Arabidopsis thaliana: one gene and its partner. The protein of the gene in region 1 interacts with the protein of each later gene in a pairwise test. Each region holds a gene or a part of one and is shown on either strand. Other genes may lie near its edges.

Region 1 (5,279 bases):
TGCTTATGACTAGGCAAGTTATCCACAATTTCGTATGTACTATGTATCTTGGATTTTATGTTCAATGAAAATTCATCCATTTCATTGTCTATCAAAGCTAAATACAAAGTTATGGCTCTTGGAATTTGTGAACATGTTTGGATTGCCTATATTATGTAAATATATATTTTGGTTTTATATTATGTAAATATATAAAGCATGCTTCTTATGCTCTCTCTGTGTACTCTACAGTGACAACACTTTAGCTCTTCATATTGCTCGGAATCTTATTTTCACGAAAAAAACTAAACACAGAGACATATATTTTCATATTGTTTGGCGTATCCGATATAGTTTTATGAAGGGTGTTTGATTTTGATTGTACCGGTTTGCTCTACCGCATTCCTGTCTGTTGGTTTAGGTTTGTTGGGTTACACTTACATATAGTACAATCCTTTTGTAACAAAACTGTAGATGGAAGTTGTAATCCTTTTGTTGAACTCTTCTAATAATCCAAGCACAATCCATAATCAAAAGGCCAAAGTAGTCATTCTCGCAGTAGATGACTTTTAAAAGTACGAACATTCTGTAGCTTTTAACGTCTTGTATAAAAATGATGATCATCGTTGGGAAAAATATTAATGATCATCATGTGACAACAAAGTACAAACTCCTTTAACCTAAATATATTATCATGTATTTCATCAAACCAAATATATGTACATATATATATACTATATGTAAAAGTGCCAAAAAGTGATAAATGTCATTCTCTATATAGCCCGCCTATCTATATGACTAAAACAATTATTTCAAGATGAATTATAGAAAAATCTTCTGTCAAACCCAATTAGACCAAGTAAAGCAGACTAAACTATCGAGATCCTTTGGTATCACTGTCACAAAGCATTGAATACTCAATAGCAACTTTTTCATAAAAATCCCAAATTTGTAATAAATTTGACTTTTCTATTAAATAGTCGCAACTTTTTAGCAAGCTAAGCTATATTACAAAAGAAAATTGGTATCTGCACAGATGATAATGAACACCTTTTTCTTCATTACTCATGTAATACGACCTATGCTTTTAACGTTCTTCAATTACTCTTTACTTAACCGAAGAAATAGAAACCGCAAGTAAAAACCAGAAAATTCAAACTCACTCGTAGAACAAAAATATGAGATTACAATATCCCAGCCTAACGCCAGTACTAAACCAAAACACACATAAAACCCATCTTTTCAAATATCACAATCTTGATGATCAATGCAAAGATGATAAGAAACAAACAAGCAAAATTGAATAATAATAACAAACACTAAATGAGTAATAATAGTCTTGAATCATAAATATATGGATAGATGGTAATACTAATTAATATAGCGCTTACTCTAGCTCCATTCATCACATTAATTTCCTCCTTCTTGTTCAATGCATGTCATCATGAATTTGAACCTCCATGGTTGTCTGAAAGAAATACATGTGGTAATTTAATTATGAAAGATTTAATTATTGTCTGGTTTCTTGATTAATAACCTATTATACTTAAAATATATAAATACATTAAAAAGAAGAAGCAAACCTTAGTTTAGAGGTGTGAGTTTGGAGGAGAAGAAGAAGAGTTTGGTTGAGTAGCTTCTTCTCCGTGGAGTAGTCTTGTAGTGTTGGGGAAACTAAGGCCTTGCATCATCATCATCCCATGAGAACCATACTGTGATGATGAAGCAAACATCGAAGAAGCTTGATTCTGATGATGATGATGATCCGACGTCGTTTGATGATGATCCCAAGAACGAAACGAATGAGGGAATAAACTGGACTGAAGGGTACCCCTTTGTTGTTGTTGTTGTTGGCCACCAAGAAACACTTGTTGTTGCTGACTATTAAGCAATGTCATCATCGACGGTTGATGATGATGATGGTGAGGATGATGATTCACCATGAAACCACCATTACTCCTTTCTTCTTGTTCTTGTTGTTGATGTTCTGATGAGGATGATGACGTCATAGTTAAGTCGTGATGATTCCATCCAGAGATTCTCCCGAACGTGTCGAAATGAGTCGTGGTGAAATTGTTGGTCTCGGGAACTACGACTGTGTTGTTGTTCCCTTGAAATGGGTGAAGAGAGAGACCAAGATCTTGGCTAAGGTTTGGTGGTGGTGTTGTTGTTCTTGAGACCATGTTGTTGTCATCCTGATGAGGGTAGTTTTGGAAATTGATGTTTGTACCACCACCACCGTTTGTTGTTGTCGTCGCCGGGAAAAACGTTTTCATTGCGTCTTCAGGATCAAGATTGGCCGCCACGAACTGCGTTTGGTCATTGTTCTCTCTTTGGAAAACCAAAGTGGGAGATTCCGGTTTAGTATTCACCGGTTCTTGACGAGTAGTAGTAGTAGTAGTCTCCCCGAGTTCAAGCTTATCAATAGCGGTTTTGGCTTTCTTGATGAGCCAATCAACGGCTTTGCTAGGCCGGTCATAACCTAACCGGTCTTGCACATCGTAGAATTGAATCGCCGTGTGAGCTGAGAGTCTCACGCGCCGGTCACGTGGACCCTTTGATGTGAACACTTTGCTATGACGGTCTTTGCGTCCAGTGGCTCGGATTATGTGACCGCCTTGAACCTCAACTATCTCTCCTCCTCCTTCTCCGACGCTATATCCTTTAAGTCCCATTATTTTTTTACCTTTCAAAATGACATTCCAAGAGTTGTTTTAACTTGGAAGAAAAACTTGCGTGCCGTTTTTGTTGCCCACTTGCTTTGTTTACCTCTTCAAAATGCTTGCCGTTTTGTTGTTATTGTGGTGTTTGGTGTGTAGTGAGTTAATAACATCTGATGCAGGCTGGACACAGCTACCTGAAAGCTGCTACAAGAAGCAACTCTTCTATGCAGATCCCCAAAAGATCTGCCATGGCAGTCACAAGATTCAATGACCCAACATACCCAAATCAAAAAAGGGAAAAAATGAAGAAATATTTAGAAGAAAAGAGATTGGAATCTTTAGTCTAGGGTTTTCCCAAAGAGATGAGAATTTGGACAACAAAATTGATATTAAAAATAAAAGAGCGAGAGAGAGAGAGAGAGAGAGAGAGAGATGCTACTTTAATATATTGATATGTTTAGTTGGTCTAAAATCGAAGGACAAGAAGAAGAAGAGGAAAAAAAAGAGAGAGAGTATACTATTAGATTGTTGGTGGAAAGGATAGCAGAAGTTAAGGGTTCAGAATAGGAAAGTAAACTAAATAAATACCCTTTTGCTTTCAACCTTTTGTTCCTTATTATAAGATTCCTATTTCACATATCAACATGTGTCCTTGTTAAGTTCTTAGCCACATATTTGTTTATTTCAAATTTTTTTGTTACAGAAAAATTCCTCAATCATTATTCTTCAATCATGCGTGCCATATCGAATTCTTGAAACATACATAACTATATATATCATATAATAAGGAATATAGGAAAATTGAAAAACATCAATAAATGAACATATATCATATCTTAGTTACACCAATTTGTAATATTTTGTTTGGTTAATGTCAAATCCTCCTTCACTAATTAATTAAAACTTGAAAAGCATATGTTTCACACAACATACACACACATTGGTCGGCTTAGGATTACATGCTAATCAAAGTCGACAATGGAATAATTTGACTCTAGTATGATTTTTTTTTTTGGTAAGCTGAGGGGTGGCAATTGCCTACCCCAATTTATTAAGAACAAACTACAAAAAATTACAATAAAACAGCTCGAGGGAACTCTGTTCCATTAACATCTGCGAGCAAAAGTAAACGGACTCCCTCTGGGCATGCATCAAAACAATGAAGCCCTAGCGGCAAGGTAAAGGCATAGTTTGCTAACCCGTCAGCGAGACGGTTAGCTTCCCTATACACGTGTGACACACGGACTAACCAGTCCCTCGTAAAGAAGCCTTGGCACAACCGTACCAGGAAGGACAGCGGATGAGCGTTGCTTACCCCTGTGCTTAAAAAACCCACCACCAACTTGCAATCCAAGTCTAACTCCACTCGTCGAAACCCCTTGTCCCACGCAATGAGCAGCCCATAGTAGGCGCCCCATAACTCGGCTAATGGCGCTGCACAAGATCCAATGTTTAGTGCAAAACCACCTAGCCACTCCCCCTGCCCATTCCGGATGGCCCCTCCTGCCGCAGCCAGCCCGTGATTCCCACGGGACGCTCCATCCGTGGTAATTTTCACCCACCCATCGCTTGGAACCTGCCACCTGATCATTCTTTCCACCCGCACACCATTAGGCCGGTTACCAACAGCACCAACATGTACTCTCCTCACCTCCTCCGCCATGTCTTTGATGAACTTCAGCCTGTCCCGACAAATCTTTCGTTCCCCAAACACATCACAACACCTCCACTTCCAAGCCCACCAAATTCCCATACCAAAAAGAGTAGGCCAAATCCCCTTTACTGGATCCATATTTGTAAATAACCACTCCAATAAAGACTGGCTAAAAAACTCATGATGTCGTCTCAGTGGCAGCAACCGACGCCAAATCGGTTCCATAGCGGGGCAGTCACGCAACACATGGAGTATTGTTTCCTCGGCTCCATTACACACCGAACATATAGCATTCTCACTCAAATGGCGCCGGACTCTCTCCACATTAGTCATGATCACATTCTGGCTCACCAACCAAATAAACACCCGTACTCTCTCAGGCGTGATCAGCTTCCAGATTCTGTTAAAGAAGCTCCCCATATTCGGCCTGTCTCCAACGTCACCTTGTAGGAGGGAATACGCAGAGCGGACTGTGAAGGCCCCATCCTGTGTACCCTTCCATGATATCTCGTCTCCATTACCCAGAAAAACCTGAACCACAACCGAGAGCAACCGCCTCTTAACTGTCTCTGGCAGATACAAACCCAGAATTTCCAGGTTCCAACCTGATCCCGGCAACCAATAATCGGCTGCCACCTTTATTCTCTCCCCCTCCGGTATCATATCAGTCCCAAGCTCCACCAACGGCTCCTGCAACAGCCAGCGATCCAACCAGAACCTTATTGTGCACCCATCTCCAGGCACCCATCCAACGCCCTTAACCACCACTTCCCGGAGCCCTACTGCCACACTTCTCCACGTGGAGGACCATCTTGGTTGTGGTTTCAGCCAGCTAGTATCTTGTACTCCACCCACTTTGTACTTTTTGCGAACAACCCGTGCCCATAAGCTCTCTTTATCTTGAAGCAGACGCCACCCCACCTTGGCTACCAAGGCCTTATTCATATCACGAGCAGACCGTAATCCGATCCCTCCCTCAGCTT
Region 2 (5,049 bases), on another chromosome or scaffold:
TTCCTTGTGGTCTTTATTGTTTATAGGTCCTAGGCATTTTACATGCTACTGTGTTTCGGAATATCTTTTTGTTAGAGGAATCAAATGTTATTTTGAAAAAATTGAATGCTATTTTAAAATTGAAAGAAATTTGTATTTGGCTAGCAGGAAAAAGCATGGAATAAAGTAGCTTTGCGTACTGGGATCTTTTACATTGGATTATGCGAAAGATCCTTTTTTCTCATTTTGCTAGAGAATTCTTGAGTTTTATTTCATATAATAATATTAAGTATAATTCACCTTTTGAACGATATAAGTTTTGATTAGTAAAAAAAATGGATGAGTAGTGGAATAATTTGCAAGAAATAATGGTGCTACATAAGAATGATCAACCTAGTTTCTTGAAAAGAATATCAACACTGAAATGAACAAAAATATTCATAATACGATAACCAAAACCAACTAAACCATGAAAAGGGCACTTATAAACACAAAGGTTACGTGATTTCTTGAAACTAATGCTCACCGTGAATGTAAATGGACGTTGCGTGTGGTAAAAATAAAGAAAAGACAAAGAGATCTTTTGACCACTTCACTCTTTTAAAATCACATACGTATGTGTCGATTTCTAATACAGCTAGTAGCTTGTGTTAGCAAAATTTAGTATAATTTTTTTCCGGGTAAAATGTTTAGTATAATTTTTTAGTAAAATTTAGCAAAATTTAGTATAATTTTTCTATTCGAAAAGATAAACTAAAGCGAATATGTCCTATACTAGTAAAGATTAATTATTTATACGGCTCTACTAATTTAGTCTAGTTATATGATAGTAGTACAAACTGAAGTACGAATTTATGTATCGTACTACTTGCATAAACGTACATGTGGTTTTGCCTATCTAAGAACATCGTTTAATTAAACCCGATTGTATAGTTTGAATGTTTTATCGGTTTTTAAACGAGTGGTTCGAATTCCATGAAACCGAGATTTCAGTATAGCTCTGTGTTTGAGATACAATAACAAATACATGAATCCATAGCCCATAGGCCATACACGGTTATGCCCATTCGGTATTGTTGGTCTAGCAAAGTTATTTCTGACGATGTGCTACATGTACTATGTGGTACATACCTTTTTTATATTCAACATTTAATCTCATATCATGTTGACTATAAATGTATAACTTTCAAGCTCATAACATTTAGGTTATAAAAAGTCAATATTTGTTGTAGTCTAAATCTTCTTTATTTCAAACGTAATTTTTTACTCCAAAAAAGTGTAACTTATCTACTTTTAATTGTTAAAGTAGGAAAATAAAATTTGATTTTTCTTTAAAAAAGTAGAAAATTGTTAATTTTGTACAAATAAATTTGATCTTTCTTAGTTATAGTTTGATTTTGTTAATTCCTTATTTTTAATTTTTTATCCAATAATTGAGTTGCTTTATTTTATTTTTAGTCTTTCAACAGATTCTTTTTATATTATCTTTAATAAATATTTTAGTGGGATATTTCACAGCCTGAACCACTCCATATGCAGAAAATAGTGTTTGTAAAATATTATAGATTCTTCAGAATCCTCTTTTTAAGACTAATTTGGGAAAATATTAAATACAGGATAACAGGAATATGAGAATCTTGAATGAGAAGAGCACTAAAAACAAAATAAATAACAAGTTTCCCAAAACTGAAAATTGTAATATAATTAATAGCCGAATTAAAAGGAAAAAAATCCTTAAAGAAAAATATAAAAAAAGAGAAGAATAAATATATATAAGTGAGTGTAACGATTCGCCGCGTGTGTACGGGCATCACAAAAAGATTCTTTCTTCCATTTAAAGATAAATCTAATTTTAATATTGACAAAAACACCCTCAAGTCTCCACTTATTTACAGCGGCTACGGTTCACCGCGTCCTTCTTCTTCTTCCCTAATCTCATTTTTTTTTTGTTCTCATTTATCTTCTTCAGCATCTTCATCATCTTCTTCTATATATACCTCTTTAAGCTTGCTTCTCTTTGTCTTTATCTTGTCCGATGGTTCAAACAGAAACCGATCAAAGGATGGGTCTTAATCTGAATTTGTCTATCTACTCTTTACCAAAACCCTTATCTCAATTTCTCGATGAAGTGTCGAGGATCAAAGACAATCATTCCAAACTGTCTGAAATCGATGGTTATGTCGGAAAATTAGAGGAAGAAAGGAACAAAATCGATGTTTTTAAACGAGAACTCCCTTTATGCATGCTCTTATTGAACGAAGGTATCTTTTATTAAAATTCTCTCCTTTTCTTTTTTTTATCTTCTCTAATCGATTCGTGTTTTTGTTTAAAGAGATTGTTTTTCTCTGTGTAGCGATTGGGGCGTTGAAGGATGAGGCTAGAAAAGGGTTATCACTGATGGCATCTAATGGGAAATTCGATGATGTTGAAAGGGCAAAACCGGAAACTGATAAGAAGAGCTGGATGAGCTCTGCCCAGTTATGGATCTCGAACCCTAATTCCCAATTCCGATCGGTACGATCAAAAAGCAACCCTTTTTATGTTTTGTGAAGAATCATATGTTGTGTGATTGATCTTGTTGACCTTATGATCATGTTTTGACAGACAAATGAAGAAGAAGAAGATCGGTGTGTGAGTCAGAACCCATTTCAGACATGTAATTACCCTAATCAAGGAGGGGTATTTATGCCATTTAACCGTCCCCCACCTCCTCCACCACCAGCTCCTCTGTCTCTCATGACTCCAACATCAGAGATGATGATGGATTATAGCAGAATTGAGCAGAGTCATCATCATCATCAATTCAATAAACCTTCTTCACAGAGTCATCACATTCAGAAGAAAGAGCAGAGAAGGAGATGGTCACAGGAACTTCACCGTAAATTTGTTGATGCTCTTCATAGGCTTGGAGGGCCACAAGGTTAGTCCTTAACCTTAGTAAAGGATCAAACTTTGCTTTAGATTTGATTGATTGATTATACTGAGATTGTTTTGTATTGTTGTTGTTGTTGTTGTTGTTGTTGTTGTGAGACAGTTGCTACACCAAAGCAGATTAGAGATTTGATGAAAGTTGATGGTTTAACCAATGATGAAGTCAAGAGCCATTTACAAGTAAAAGTTCTCATCTTTTACAGTAACTTAAACTTTGATGTGTGGATGAATGAATGATTTTGACAGTGCGGTGAAATGAAATTGTTATTGCAGAAATATAGAATGCATATCCGTAAGCATCCGCTGCATCCGACAAAGACTTTGTCATCGTCGGATCAGCCAGGTGTGTTAGAGAGAGAATCGCAGAGCTTAATAAGTTTGTCGAGGTCGGATTCGCCACAAAGCCCACTTGTTGCAAGAGGGTTGTTCAGTAGTAATGTTGGTCATAGCTCAGAGGAAGATGAGGAGGAGGAGGATGAAGAGGAGGAGAAGTCTGATGGACGTAGTAGCTGTAGAAATGATGAAACAAAGAAGAAGAGACAAGTGTTGGATCTTGAGCTTTGAAAGTCTGCATAGTGAATGATATAATCTTTACCAACTTATGTTATATATGCTCAAAACTTTGAGTTTGTTCGGGAGTTTTTGTAGATGTAAACATGAGAGTTGAAATAAGGAAGAGGATTTTGAGCAAAAAGTAGGGTTTGTTTTTGCAAGAGGAAATAGATAGAGAAGAGTGTTCGAAATCCTCTGTGTTTTTTTTTTTTTTTTTTTTTTACTTCATAAGTAAGATAAACTCATATATCAAAGATTTTGTTTTTATACTTATTACAGTCTCAACCATGTGAATGAAGGAGTCATTTGTTTAGTTTTACCAGCTCGTCATACTAATTACCTTTTACCTTCGAAAACAGAGGATGAAGAAACATCACAATCTTTGTCTCTTTCTGTAACTCATCGTTTTCTACAAATCTACGTAATCTGAGAGAATAAGTAAGGGGAAAAAAAATAAGAATCTTTTATTGCATAAAATCGTACGAAAAGATAAGATTTTTCGTCTGAAAAACGACAAGATTTATTTTCACTATTGAAGGAATTGACAATGTATATAGAAAAAATCTACTCACTGATTAGTGATTTGATGAATAGTTTACTTCCACGAGATTTGCATGTTTTGTGGATAAAGCTTCTTGCACCATGTAACATACATTAGCCAATAGTATAGGGTAGATATTTATCTTTTGACATAATTTTCTTCAAATTTGTTATTTTTATTCAAAAATTCAAATAGTTACTCTCTGCTTTTCACAATTAATGAGTGTATATACTAAAGACATTTAAGCGGCAATGGAATATTTGTTCAAATTGGTTCGGTCGATTCAGTTTCTAAACCCAACCGGTTTATTCACCCGGTTATTTCGAGTCAATTTATGTGGTTTTGTGGTCTCTGGGCCTCACGGGGCCGCCTCTCCGTCTTCATCAACATTCTCAAACTCTTTTACAAATCTAGGCTCGACGAGGGTTTAAGCAATCACCGGAGCTCTTAGTCTCTTACGCTGTGAGCTAAGAACCGACCTTTTGCTTAGTTTCTTTCAAGTCTCCAATCAAACAACCATGAGAGAAATTGTGACGATTCAAGTTGGAGAATTCGCAAACTTTGTTGGCTCTCACTTTTGGAATTTCCAGGTTAGAGAAGCAAAACCTCCTGTTGAACTCTCTGCTCCGATTCTTTTAACAATGGATTCTGGGTTTTGTCTGTCTCTGTTTTTCATTACAAAAGTGTTTGTCTTTTTTGCTATAAATCGATTGGGTTTGCTAAAGTTGAGAACTTTTACTTGAAATGTAGGATGAATTGCTCGGATTGGCTAGTGACCCTGAAAGCGATCCAATCTTTAGAAACCATAATCTCGACATGGATGTTCTCTACCGCTCCGGTGAGACCCAGCAGGTGAGAGATGATTGATATTTCGTTGACTTTGATCAATCTCACTTGTTTTTGCAAATCTCAACATTTGTGTGGCGGAAATTTATACAGGGGGTTGCTACATACACTCCTCGTTTGGTTTCAGTCAACTTAAAAGGTAATAATCTTAGCTTTATCTTTCGATTAGAAGATTCTGGATTTGATATATAATGGTGGTT

Evidence for each region. Proteins that work in one complex are often made in the same cells at the same time.
Region 2: the proteins of TCP10 (region 1) and AT4G37180 interact in binary tests that used the Arabidopsis thaliana proteins (3 or more experiments, as listed by UniProt).

What each region holds. Positions count from the first base shown.
Region 1 is NC_003071.7:13,219,416-13,224,694, forward strand, and holds TCP10 (TCP domain protein 10), read right to left. Parts: upstream 3,195-5,279; 5' UTR 2,655-3,194; coding exon 1,569-2,654; 3' UTR 1,563-1,568; intron 1,448-1,562; 3' UTR 1,063-1,447; downstream 1-1,062. UniProt on the Arabidopsis thaliana protein: Plays a pivotal role in the control of morphogenesis of shoot organs by negatively regulating the expression of boundary-specific genes such as CUC genes, probably through the induction of miRNA (e.g. miR164). Participates in ovule development.
Region 2 is NC_003075.7:17,502,634-17,507,682, forward strand, and holds AT4G37180 (Homeodomain-like superfamily protein), read left to right. Parts: upstream 1-1,930; 5' UTR 1,931-2,014; coding exon 2,015-2,240; intron 2,241-2,311; coding exon 2,312-2,493; intron 2,494-2,583; coding exon 2,584-2,899; intron 2,900-3,013; coding exon 3,014-3,090; coding exon of another isoform or gene 3,091-3,147; exon of another isoform or gene 3,148-3,183; coding exon 3,184-3,474; 3' UTR 3,475-3,871; downstream 3,872-5,049. Other genes in the region: AT4G37190 (plasma membrane, autoregulation-binding site, misato segment II, myosin-like, tubulin/FtsZ protein), read left to right, coding at 4,522-4,593, 4,754-4,855, 4,943-4,988.